3 linked regions of the Drosophila melanogaster genome follow. The protein of the gene in region 1 interacts with the protein of each later gene in a pairwise test. Each region holds a gene or a part of one and is shown on either strand. Other genes may lie near its edges. The genes, in order: CG12725, Nopp140 and CG3663.

Region 1 (3,176 bases):
TATTGATAAGTATACGATATTTTCAACCTTATACAGTTTGAATATGTTTGCATTTTTCATTTAAACTAAAGAAAAACAATCAGTATCCTATATTTGGCTAAGTTACATTATGAAATTTAAAGTTCGACACCTCAACAGAATTGTAAGCGCCATCTATCGGTTGGTAGCGGACGGGGGAGGGCAACTCATTAAATAGTCAGCACAAAAGTATGCTAAAATATATCACAGAGTTGCAGGATATCGAATTATGTTTTACCAGTTGAATCACCACCCTCATGACCTCCCTAACCTGGTTTTGACCTAGAAAGTCTTAGTTTTAAAATTCATTAGAATAATCAAATAAATAATAATTACTATGTTATATCAACTATTATAATTCTCCCTATCATTTTTAGGATTAAAAATCTGTTAGTCTTAAGTAACCAAGACACATTGTAAAATAAAATAATTTAAGCAGATCAAATTAAGTTGCCGCATGGGTAACAGTGCGTTGATCAAATAATAAAAACATCATCATGAATAAAAAAAAAAAAAAAAAAAAAAAAAAAAAAAAACCAGTTGAATGTATTTAAACTATATTTATAAATATTTTTTGAGTTAAATGGCTTTCGTTCTACAGTTCAGCTTTTCAGGAATACCATGCAGTCCATAAATAATACATAAATTTTAAGAATTTTTATGGCATTGGCCATGAGACGTTAATTATTTGCTTGAGTGTAAACAAATTCGAAATTACTTTAAATTACTTTAAATGATTCGTAAATGGGTGGTATTCTCGAATTTTTTTTTTATAATGCAACTTAAATAAAGCATTTGTTCTAAGACCCGTTCTGCTTGTATTTTGAAAATCATTGGAAGGAACTTTGAAATGAAATGAGCGCAGTCATTTGAATTGAAGATTATTTAATACAGTCTACTGCTTATTGTCGTTCTTCGTAGCCTTCTTAATCAGATCCAGAGAAATTCAATGGAGCAATCGGCTCTAGCTCCGTCTGGTTGTTGACCAGTGAATCATCGGAGTTAAGGGACAACAAATCGAGTTCAGTCAAGTCCTGTGCCTCCAGTTCATCATCGTCACTTTCCAGATCTATGCGTTGCTGGTAACCGCCGATCAATGTAGACATATGTTCACCACTATCGTTTTTCCTGCCATAGCCGAACTTGCTAAACTTGCCAATCTTCTTTTCGCGCAATTGCTTGGGCGTCAGGACGACCGGCTTCCAGGTGAGATCCAGAATGGACTTATGGCCCACATCCTCCAGTATGCTCTGATTGGACAGCTCGCGACCCTTGTAGGACAGCCGACTGAAGCCCATGGGCACGGACATGGCTCGCCCGATCCGTGCCTTCAGGTTGGCCACCGTTCCGAAGCGATCCACATCGTAAACCGTCTTCTTGCCGTCGCTCGTCTGAACTAGAACTTGCATCTTACGCATCCTAATCCAGATATATATATATATATATATGTATCTGGCACGTCGAACTGCAACTTTTTTCGTTTTATACACAAGCTCTAAGTTTTGCTTCGTTCGGATAAAAGTTTGCTCTTGGAATCCCCTATCAAACTGTCGTCGTCATGCGAATGCTAGTGCGAGTTAAATTTAATGGCATCCTTGATTACCTTATTTGATTTCCTTTGTCGATTCTCCAATCGAATTTCATAAGGAGCAATTGGCAACCCTGAAGTTGATATATTCGGCTATTCCAATTTAATAAAAATTCATTTTCGCGCTTTAACCCACAACAGTTGCATATTCTTTGAATAGTCACTATTTTTGATTTCGACGTGAAAGTAAAATATTTTCAATCAATACAGGTAGAGAAAACTCATAAGAGCGGGGCTCCACTGCCCAGCGGCCACGTGGCCTCCAAGGACCAGAACGTGAATACATTGAGCAAATCGATCCTTGGCGAGGTACTAAGAAAAGCCTTTAATGTGAAGGCGTGACCCGTTCAGCGCGGTTTGCTCTCCTCCGCGATTCATATGAACCTCTGACGAATTCGATGCCATAATTTTCAGCTGCCAAGGTCGTCTTTCAAAAATAAATATAAAAAATTAAATGTTTCCAACTTTTTAAGTTAGTAAGTTAAATAATTAGCAATAGAAATTAACTATTTTTTATAGGATAATCATAGCGAAATTTCTGAAAATGCACGAAATGAACAGCTGATCAAAAGTGAAGTGTAGTGCACTCTATTGAGCCATTATCGTGGCAAGTATCTTTGTGCCAACTGTTGTGCCACCTTGTACGGACAGCGTACACTTGTGACAGCGAATGCATCTTAGAGATACAGATACATCCGAAGACAAGGCACTTTGGCTGGCACTTCGGCCCAGTTTTATCAGCTCAACAGTTGAACAAAAACAATTCGCTGACCGATATGGAAGGTATAGTTGTGTTTCTTGTTCTTGTTGGTATTTTCTGTTATTGGCCCCGTTTTTGGTAAACAAGATAACACCGCACATCGTAGATTCGTTTAGTGGGGTGCTGTGGGGCTTGGGATCGCTGGGATCCTCAAAACACTTATTAATACTAAGCATTTTCTGATTGGAAATCGTCGCCAGATAACGCACGAATATATCAAAGCTAGTCCAGTACAAAGGCGAAAGAGCCGAATACCGAGTCAAAAAGAAACCAGCAAAACAAAAACAAGAAAAGCCGCAGCAGCAACAAAATACTAAAAGCAAAACAAACAGCGATAAAATCGAACAGCTAGGCACACTTGAAATACCCTATCGAAAATTGGGAAAGCCCTAACACATGGATTTAAGCCAAGTGTTCGTTAAGCCCTGAGTAAATGCATCGAGTTTAATAGCGGCAAGGGAAGCTATATGGACTCTATATGACTTTATGGTTAAAATATAAGCTGCTTGTAACTATCGCATTTATGTAAGTTTTAGTATGAATTTTGGTATACGGCCAAGAAAATGAGTAATAAAACCTGGTACCAATTTTCACCACCATCCGATTGGTAATACCCGAGTTACGATAGGTAAGTTTTGCATATCCCGCTCTCTTTTCGCTGTGGGCCACACCCTCTTTTCAAAGGGGCATGCAGTCGCAATGTCTCGATCTCAGCGAAAGGGTAGCGCCAGTGTCAGCAGAGGCGGAGCAGAGGAGCAGCAGTGGGGGCACCATATACAATGTACATATGCACAAGAAGCCGGTCTTTTT
Region 2 (6,110 bases), on another chromosome or scaffold:
TACAAACACACCATGACATGGATATTTTAAATGAATACTATGTAATATCATTATTTTACGATTTAAACGCAATGTGATTATTTAATTATATATGATTTATAATTAAATGGCCCGCCTTATGTTTTATTCGTTATCGAAATTGCTTGAATTGGTTGAACCGTTTTCAATTATAAAATACTTAATGTACACACCTATGTATGTGAAATCAAACGACAATACATTCTGAATACTAAATGTGAAAGATCATGAAGAGATAAAGTGAAACCTAGTTACATGTAACGTAAGCATCAAATTCATATTAATAAATATAACAAAGAATTAAAAAGAATTATTTGGGTTCCGTTTTCAACATTTCGTTTAACCCAAAATGCTATCCGCATCGATTGGGGCAGTTCCTTTACCCGAAATAAGATGAGTTCTTAGAGATTAGAAACCCGTAGAATTTAAACTTCAAAACTTGATGGTCTGAAGAGAACATGCAAAGGTTTAGTTTCATTTGATTCAAATTTGTAATCAAACTACAAACAATTCTGTTATTAAAAAATACATGTATTTCTTTCCGTGTTTTCTTAGTTCAATTAAATACATTGTCCAATGTGACAAAACAAATTAATCTTTTACATATTGAAGTTGTCATAAGCATTCATAAACCGGCTATCACCACAAGTTAGCGGAAAATTCAACCCTTCATTTAACCCAAGCGTCTGAAAAATACCTTGGCTTACTCTTTATGAACCTTATAAATATATATAATATACAATAGAAATGTATAGGGGTTTAACTCTTAAAGGCTTATAAAAAATCCACGAAACGCATTCGGGTTTCATTCCGTCCGATCAGGAAAAAAAAAGGGTTTAATCCGCTAAAGTCATAATAACCATTTGCTTGGTCACGGGTTTGTCGACCGCCAATTTGCATTCGAATAATTCACATTAAAACGGAAGTACGGACTTCCCGAAGTCAATCAAGAGTTTGGAAAGAATTTACATGTTGGCGGAACTATTGCGTAAGGCAAATATTTTACTTAAACTAGTTAGTTATATCCGTTAGAATAAGGATTATTTTATAGGTGTAATAAATCTAGTCAAATTTTATTGAATTGACTCCTACGTCAATTTGGCCACCTCGGTAGCTGCCGCGCTTCTTCTTGGTCTTCTCGTGTTTGAAGGACTTGCCGCGCGTGTGCTTCAGATCTTTGTTGGCTCGCTCGCCCCAGGATCCGGCAGCGTTTTTCTATCGTGGTGAGCAAATAATAAAATTGGGTTAATCCGATAATATAACTGCATCTAGTGTGTGTGTGTGTGCTTGCGGGTGGGTGGCGCTAACTAACTATTTCTAATTGTCGAAGGTGATCTTCTTGTTTTGCTTTGGCGCCGACGAGTCGAAGGATTTGTTGCCGAATCCGCCTCCACGTCCGCCTCCACCGCGGCCCCCGCGTCCTCCAAAGCCGCCGCCTCCGCGTCCGCCGCCACCACGTCCTCCGAAGCCACCACCGCCGCCACGGCCGCCACCGCCACGACCACCGAAGCCTCCGCCGCCTCCACGACCGCCACCACCACGTCCTCCGCGCTGGTTGTTATCAAAGCCTCCAAAGCTCTTGCGATCGCCAATCTTCTTGAAGCCGCCTCCATCACCGCCGCCCTCGCCGTTGAACTTGTTGGTCTCCCAAGTGCTGCGATCCGGTCGTCCGGAGAAGCCTGAGCCTCCTCGGCCGCCCCGTCCGTTGTTGTGCTTCTTAAAGTCGTTTTCCTGAAATGGTAGAAACGCCGAAAGGGGCAAACCACAAATTAGCAACGATTTGATTTGATATATAAGTTCAAAATGTATTGGGAAAGTGCCACAAGTGGTTTGAGATTCTTCGAGGAGCAACTTGCTAATTTGTGTGTCTGCCCCTTTCAGCCTCGTAGAAAGATCCCCCTCGCCTAATCCTCAACAGCCGTCGCAAACACACACACCCACGCGACTCAAATCCATTGCGGCACTTACCTTCGCCTCGAAGGACATGTCCTGGACTCGGGAGTCCACCACCACGTCCTCGGTGCGTACCCTTCGGAAGGGCGACCGTCGCCCACTTCCCCCTCCGCTATTGTTCATATTATGGTTTCGGCTGAAGGTGTTGTTAGGTGTGGAGGTGAAGTCATTCTTCTGCGAATGGCAATGAAGTTATGTAAAACTGTCTGCACAGGAATCGGACAAGGAGCCAAAATTATGTGCTGTTTAAAGTTCGGCTCAAATTTCAATAGGGCTTTAAAAAGCTACTTTTAAGGGAATCCTTTAACTCAGGAATTATTTTTATCCGACATTCAAAATTGATGTCTGAAGGAAAACATGCATAAGCGGACTGCGGATAATTTTAGATGTACATAGATAAGTTACACCGCCTTACCTGTTGCTCTCCCGATTTGACGAAGTTGTTGTACTTCTTGTTGGGAGTGGCCTCGTCCTGGTCGCCACCACTAAACTTGCGCTTCTGAGCGGTCTTCTCATTGCCATTGGTAGCTGAGTTGGGCTTGACCTCGCCGGACTCTTCACCAGAGTCACTCTCGTCGCTGCTGCTGTCAGCCTTCTTCGCAGGAGCAGCAGTCTTCTTGACAGCTGGCTTCACTGCCGGCGTTTCTTCATCGCTGGAATCGTCACTGTCTGAGGAGGCAGCCTTTGCAGACTTGGCCAGAGCCTTGGGAGCAGCCTTTGCTGGCTTTTCGTCTTCTGAGCTATCGCTATCTTCCGAAGAAGCAGCCTTTGCAACGGCCTTCGCGGCTGGTTTCTTGGGAGCTTCCTCCTCATCGGAGTCGCTGTCTTCGCTTGAAGACTTGGCCTTTTTGGCCGGTGTCGCCTTTGCTGGGGCGGCAGCCTTCTTGGGCGCCTCTTCTTCCGAGGAGCTGTCATCGCTGGAAGCTGCCTTCTTGGCAGGAGTTGCCTTAGCTGGCGTGGCCTTTGCTGGAGCTGCCTTCTTGGGCGCCTCTTCTTCCGAGGAGCTGTCATCGCTGGAAGCTGCCTTCTTGGCAGGAGGTGCCCTAGCTGGCGTGGCATTTGCTGGAGCTGCCTTCTTGGGCGCCTCTTCCTCCGAGGAGCTGTCATCGCTGGAAGCTGCCTTCTTGGCAGGAATTGCCTTAGCTGGCGTAGCCTTTGCTGGAGCTACCTTCTTAGGAGCATCGTCTTCCGAAGAACTATCCTCAGTGGAACTGTCGGCCTTTTTGGTGGGAGCAGCCTTAGAAATGGGCTTTGCGAGAGTTGCTGCCTTTTTGGGTGCCTCGTCTTCAGAGGAACTATCATCACTAGAGGAAGCCCCCTTCTTAGCAGGAGCCAACTTGGCAGCAGATTTAGCAGCGGGTTTGACCTCCTCCTCTGAGCTGCTGTCTTCGGAACTAGAAGCGGCTGCCTTAGGAGCTGGCTTTGCGGCAGGCTGGACGGCAGGCTTCTTGGCGGCTGGCTCGTCATCGGAGTCGCTTTCCTCGCTGGAGGATGCTGCTTTCTTTGCCGGTGCAGCCTTGGCTACAGGCTTGGCAGCTGGCTTAGTCTCCTCATCGGAGCTGCTTTCTTCGCTGCTGGAGTCGGCCTTCTTGGCGGGAGCAACCTTAGTCGTTGTGGCCTTGACGGCGGGCTTTGCCGGTTCTTCCTCGGAACTGCTATCCTCGCTGCTGGACTCAACCTTCTTCGCGGGAGCCGCCTTGGCCGGAGGTGCCTTCACTGGAGCAGCTTTTTTGGGTGCTTCTTCCTCCGAGGAACTGTCCTCGCTGGAGGATTTTGCCTTCTTGCCGACAGCCTTGGCCGGCGTGGCCTTTGCTGCTGGCTTCTTCTCCTCCTCTGAATCGCTGTCCTCGCTGGTTGAAGAAGCTGCCTTTTTGACAGCCTTGCCGTTTGTTAGTGCAGGAGCTGTCGCTGGCTTCTTAGGCGCCGCATCAGACTCAGAGTCTGAGTCGCTGTCTTCGCTGGAGTCTCCGGCTGTCGCCTTGATTGCTGGGATCTTTTTGGGGCTTTTGGTCTGGTAGAACTGAAGGATTTCACTCAACTTTGGGCTGCTTTTGGCGACACTGGCCTGCAAGTTAGAAAAAGGCAGAAATTCTTGGTTATCTGGACGAAGCACGTGGCACTTGCAGCAAGTGGCAGGTGGACAGCTCGATGAGCCATCGGCGGACAGCAAGGCCCTCGGATTCTAGATCAGGAGGACGCAGATACCACATGTTTCGGGTGCATCCAAACCGCACATATTGCACTTGCCGCTCTGCACTGAAACTTACCGCCTTCGTCTTCTGCTGGAAAACCTTGGCTAGGTTCTTGTCCTTGGACTGCAAGTACTCCAGGACGATTGCATCGGCTATCTTTAGCAGGTCTGTCATGATTAATTCAACTATTCGTCAATATTTTCCGTCCGCAAATAATTACTAGCCGCTTGTCCCACAAAAAAGAATGCGCACTCACACGTGTTTTCTACTTATCAGTGGTATGGCAGCACTACGCGGCTGCCAACGGTGTGGCCACCCCTGCACCCCGTTTCTCAACACTGTCAATGCAGCGGGTATTCTTCCCAAGAATAACTCGAAAATGCCAATCAATTGTAATCATTTATTTATGCCACACCGACAAAGATCTTGAAATTAGAAATAACGCTAGGCTACGTTAGACAAAACTAAAATTACAAATTTATTGTTATATATGTCTATGTATATATATATATGTATATATATATATGTATATGTATATATGTAGACATATATAACAATAAATTTGTAATTTTAGTTTTGTATATATATATATATATATATATATATATATATATACATAGACATATATAACAATAAATTTGTATTGTTAAATTTGTTATATATATATATGTCTATATGTCTATGTATATATATATAAATTACTAAACTGTATTATTAAATTGTATTCAAACAATTAGCGTATATATAACATAATGTAAGGAACCTACGTTTTTTGCGTGAGGTATTCAGACCATCCACGACTGGTCACATTGGGGGAGCACCAAAATGTATTTTTGTTTGTTATTCAATTGAGTTGACCTGCTTGAAACGATCCAGAATACAGAAACTATCTCTCGCTCCGGCTATTTTAACAGACTCTGTACCTAGATTGTGTCGCGAGGATCGCATCCCGGGCCATGGCTTCCGAGCCGAGATCCCTAATTCTGCAATTGGACGACGACTGTCTGGCCGAGATTTTCGATCGCTTGCAGGACCTGCCGTCGGAAGTGTCCTTCGCGAGGACTTGCCGGCGAGTGCAGTACATATGTCTGAGCAAGTGGCGCACCAGCCATGCCTACGAGCAACTGGATCTGGAGAAGTGGCGGGTACTGTTGCCCAATCATGAAGACCTGGTCTACTTCCTAACCCAAATGCGTCCGTACATCAGAGAAATGGGCGGCAGCAGCTGTCTGTGCTCCATTCTAAAAGATCTGGACGAAATGCACATTGCAGAGCTGCCCATGGTGACCAGCTTCTACTACGACCCAGACGGCGTCGATTGCTATCCCACGAACCGAAGCATCCGCAAGCTGGCCCGCCTGCTGCCGGGCTTGAAAAAGTTGCGCCTTACCACACCCATCGACGGGCGGTACCTATCCAACTTCCAGCACCTGCAGGAGCTGCACCTCTACGAGGACCAGCACAAGGCGTTTGAGCTGCAGCAGAAGTACCTGGACGAGGTGTGCCGGTAAGTAGTAACCTTCTGCTGCATAATATTTCGCAACTCATTTTCCGTTTGCGCCACAGCACGCTGCACGATCTTCGGGTCCTGGACATTAGGACGTACGATATGATCAGTAAACTTCAGCTGGGAAACTGCCTGCAGAGCTTTAAGAACCTCACTGATCTTAAGCTCAATCTGGCCACCTTGAAACCCATTCTACCCGCCGTTCTGGAGCTGCCCTCCCTCAGGAAACTGGTGGTGCTGCTGGACAACGAGTGGCATATCCCCCCGCTGGTCAGTCCGGATAGCTATGACCACAAGATCCGCGAGGTCAGCGAGTTCTACGAGATCATGGCTTTCAAGGCCAAGGACATCGTCGGCTTTGCCGTGGACGGGTACTATATGCCCCTTGAACCGGGCTGGGATGAGAAGCTGCCCATCTGGACGCATCGCAGGCTGAAGCG
Region 3 (3,411 bases), on another chromosome or scaffold:
GATGTTATGTTAATCTTAACTTATAAAACGGCGGTTTTTTCCATAAAATGAGTGGTGAGGTAATGTCTTGTTGTTCCAATAAAACGTTCCCCTGGTAGAACTCATATTGAGAGCTGTTGGGCTACAGTTCATAGAGCGCTTCAGCATCTTCATCCAAGGGTCTGTCCAATTAGACATTGCGCTTACAGAGCCCCTGAATGGGTCATGTGGAATGATGATGATTTCCTCATCCCACACTGCTGCACAAATAAAAGGTTACCGAACAGCACTCAGCTTTATAATCAATGCCGACAGGCGGCATAAAATACGCATTGTCATCCGCATAATAAGGAACCCAGCGGAAATGGGGCAAAGTGGGGGAACTCACCGGAAGGGAAGCCATTGGGGCTATTGTTAAACGGCAAATTCAAATATGGACTCGCCCATTGTGCGGGGCCATTGGAATATGTTACGGAAATGACAACTTAAATGGGTGCTGCTCCCATTCGGCCCATTCGGCCCATTTCCCATCCGCGTATCCTTGAAAAGCACAATTCTGCATGATGGTTTTATAAATGCAATTGGCTTTATAACAAACAGATATTTAGACAGGAGGGGCTATCTCACAGCTTGGCACTGCCCGCTGGCACTCCGCTCCCGTTGCGCGTGAGTTCCATATCCACCGACGGCTGGTTCACCAATTTCCGGACCACATCGAACTTGGGGTTGTTCTTATCTCGAACCAAGTCGAAGATAACGCTCTCACTAGTGGTGATCACACAGCCCGCTTGACGCAGGCGATCCAGGGCTAGATCTCGATCCTGGTTCAGCCTGGAGGAGCAGCAGTCCGCCACTATGTATACGTTGATGTTTTGCTCGAGGAGATCGATGGCGGTCTGCTCCACGCAAATGTGGGACTGTTGAAATTTTGAATTTAATGTTTTCGAATAAGAGTGTTTTTCTCCTTAACCCACCTCGAGGCCATATAGCACGACATCCTCTGGCTTGTCATTGAAGATATCCTTGATCACAGCCTTGACTTCGGGAGTAAACATGCTGAAAAGGGTTTTACCGGAGACCAGCTTCGCATGGCTTACATCCAGTTGGGCCACTGTTTTTCCTAGTTTTTCCGGATAGTGTTCGGTTACAATCAGAGGAACATCTAAAGCCTTTCCCGCCCGAGTCTAAAATTTTTTTGAGTTAATCTCACAGGTTAATGATAAGGATCAATATCAAAATCAAAGTTCAACCCACTAGTTTGTCGACGTTTTTGATCATGTTATCAAAGAGCGGCATGGCCGGTCGGAACTTTTCTTGAATGTCGCACAACAGGAAAAGCGTTTTCTTCGGGTTCAAGTGACAGCGTCGCAGGGCCATTTTGTTTCACACTATTTACTAGATTCGGCTTAGAAAATACGCAATGTTCACTTGTTAAATAAACTGCAAATTGTATCAGCTGTTTACTACCAGGGGTACGAAAAAACGAAACGGTTGGCTTGATCGATACCGATAAGAATTATAAGCAAAGCACTTATCGATTACCTAATGGAAGATTTAGTACATGGCTGTAACTGATATTCAAACTTCAAACTTTTATTTACAAGTTGCAATACTTCAGATATAAACTACGGAAAACTGAGGTCCAAATATTGCTAGATGCTTACACAGACTAGACCACATAGCCGACATAGTTAATTAAAACGAAATCTTCATTTAATTTAACTTTGCCCACGGCGACATCATCAAGTAAATGTGTAATTACTTAAACGCCTCACTCCGCCTTCGCACAGGCAGCAGATTTATATTCATAAGCCAAGGCATCCTGGAATCCGAAGGCATTTATAATTGAATTCCTCACCGGCACACCGACATTATAGTAATGAAGCCACCGGCCCAGTCAATTTCAATAACGCAATCAAATGCGTGCAGTTTCAAAAACCACAAATGCGAAGCGGAGGAGGGGTAGTCCAATCCCAATGCCATTGACATGACCGAAATGAGTGTCCGGCGGGCAATCTCTTGGACATTCCCGGCACGTAGCCTCGATGGACCCGATACTTCTCCGGGCAAAGGAAGCCCACGATAATGGCCATGGCGAGTCGCATGCATATTTTAGTAATTTGCGCCGCCTTTTGTGTGCCACCCCCCTGTTACCGCTCCGCAACCCCTCTCCCCGCCCAGATATTACTGGTCTACATATTTCATGAGACCCGAAGCTTGCGGATGCTGCAATTTGGGGGCCGAGGAAGAGAAACCTTAGTGGAACCACTCAAAAAGTAATCGAAATGTCTGAAACAAACACATGCGTACGCACCTGAATAGCACCTGTATTTGCTATTTGCCTGCGTTTCTGTATTCATGTCGCCTCTCCATCTCTGCTCTATATTTTCCTAGTCTTCAAGAAAAGTCATCTTGATTTTCAATTTCGACGCCATTTGCGCTTCACCGGAATCGAGAGTCATTTGCATTTTCCTTCTGCTACACTTTCACTTGGGAAGTATCCGCACTTGTTGGCGAAGTAGTGGTGCGTTACGTTGATGGAACTTCCGGTTTTCGATTTGGATACAGCCTGGTACTTTTCGAATACTTTGTATATTTGCATCTATAATGCTTATTGTATTGTATTGCAATGGCGTGGAAAAGGATAATTCGCAGCAATCTCATATCCCTTTCGCTACCAAATCTAGATGTAAGCCTAAAGCTCCTTCAGTTGAGAAGTGTGCTGGATTCGTAGTCGAGAAGTGCTAATGCTAATAATAAGTCGACACAATTGACAAAAAGTTTTTTCATCTACCGAGGAAAAGGGGGCAAACAACAAAATGTCTCACCAGCAATTTGCTCACATCCCAGCAGCAATTTATTGAATGTGAAAATTTAAAATTGTTCATTTGAGAAACAATTTGCGAGCGTAAGTAAGTCGAATTGCGTTCGTTTTGTTGTTTCAGAACTGACAGCCATAAGTTCGAATATATGGCAATAAAAATCCAAGATGCTCGGGGAGCAGCAACAAGCGCCCAGAGAGTTTGTTCGTCTGACTGTATTTTTATGTGATTTCTGAGGCCATCCCCCATCCCCCATCCTCCAGCTCCTGCTCCAGCTCCAGCTCCAGCTCCATCTGGGAGTCCTGGGGAAAGTGCTCTCATGCGAGATCGAATGTAGGAGCGGGGAAAATGTTATGCCATTTATTTAGAGTATTGAAGTCTTTGAGCTACGCTTTCCGTCCGCAGTGCCATTTGCAATTGTGCAATTTGCCCAATGAAATGTAAATGCGAATCAATTGTAGTTTTATTTGCAGTAATTCCTGATTCGACAAACTCGACTTGTGTAAACGCATTTCATTTCGAATATTCAGTTCCATTTGCATATTGCTGCCTGGCTCCACAATATGAATCTAAAGCCCCTAGTTAGTCACTTAGGTGGAGCAACTAAAAG

What was found.
Region 2: the proteins of CG12725 (region 1) and Nopp140 interact in a two-hybrid assay, tested with the Drosophila melanogaster proteins (one large-scale study listed by BioGRID).
Region 3: the proteins of CG12725 (region 1) and CG3663 interact in a two-hybrid assay, tested with the Drosophila melanogaster proteins (one large-scale study listed by BioGRID).

Annotation. Positions count from the first base shown.
Region 1 is NC_004354.4:13,401,279-13,404,454, forward strand, and holds CG12725 (uncharacterized protein), read right to left. Parts: upstream 1,586-3,176; 5' UTR 1,437-1,585; coding exon 945-1,436; 3' UTR 561-944; downstream 1-560.
Region 2 is NT_037436.4:21,831,106-21,837,215, reverse strand, and holds Nopp140 (Nopp140), read right to left. Parts: upstream 4,443-6,110; 5' UTR 4,338-4,442; coding exon 4,239-4,337; intron 4,037-4,238; coding exon 2,387-4,036; intron 2,146-2,386; coding exon 1,987-2,145; intron 1,750-1,986; coding exon 1,336-1,749; 3' UTR 1,234-1,335; coding exon of another isoform or gene 1,081-1,233; 3' UTR 531-1,080; downstream 1-530. Other genes in the region: CG7148 (uncharacterized protein), read left to right, coding at 5,120-5,670, 5,730-6,110.
Region 3 is NT_033778.4:24,659,540-24,662,950, reverse strand, and holds CG3663 (uncharacterized protein), read right to left. Parts: upstream 1,449-3,411; 5' UTR 1,357-1,448; coding exon 1,234-1,356; intron 1,164-1,233; coding exon 954-1,163; intron 897-953; coding exon 603-896; 3' UTR 542-602; downstream 1-541.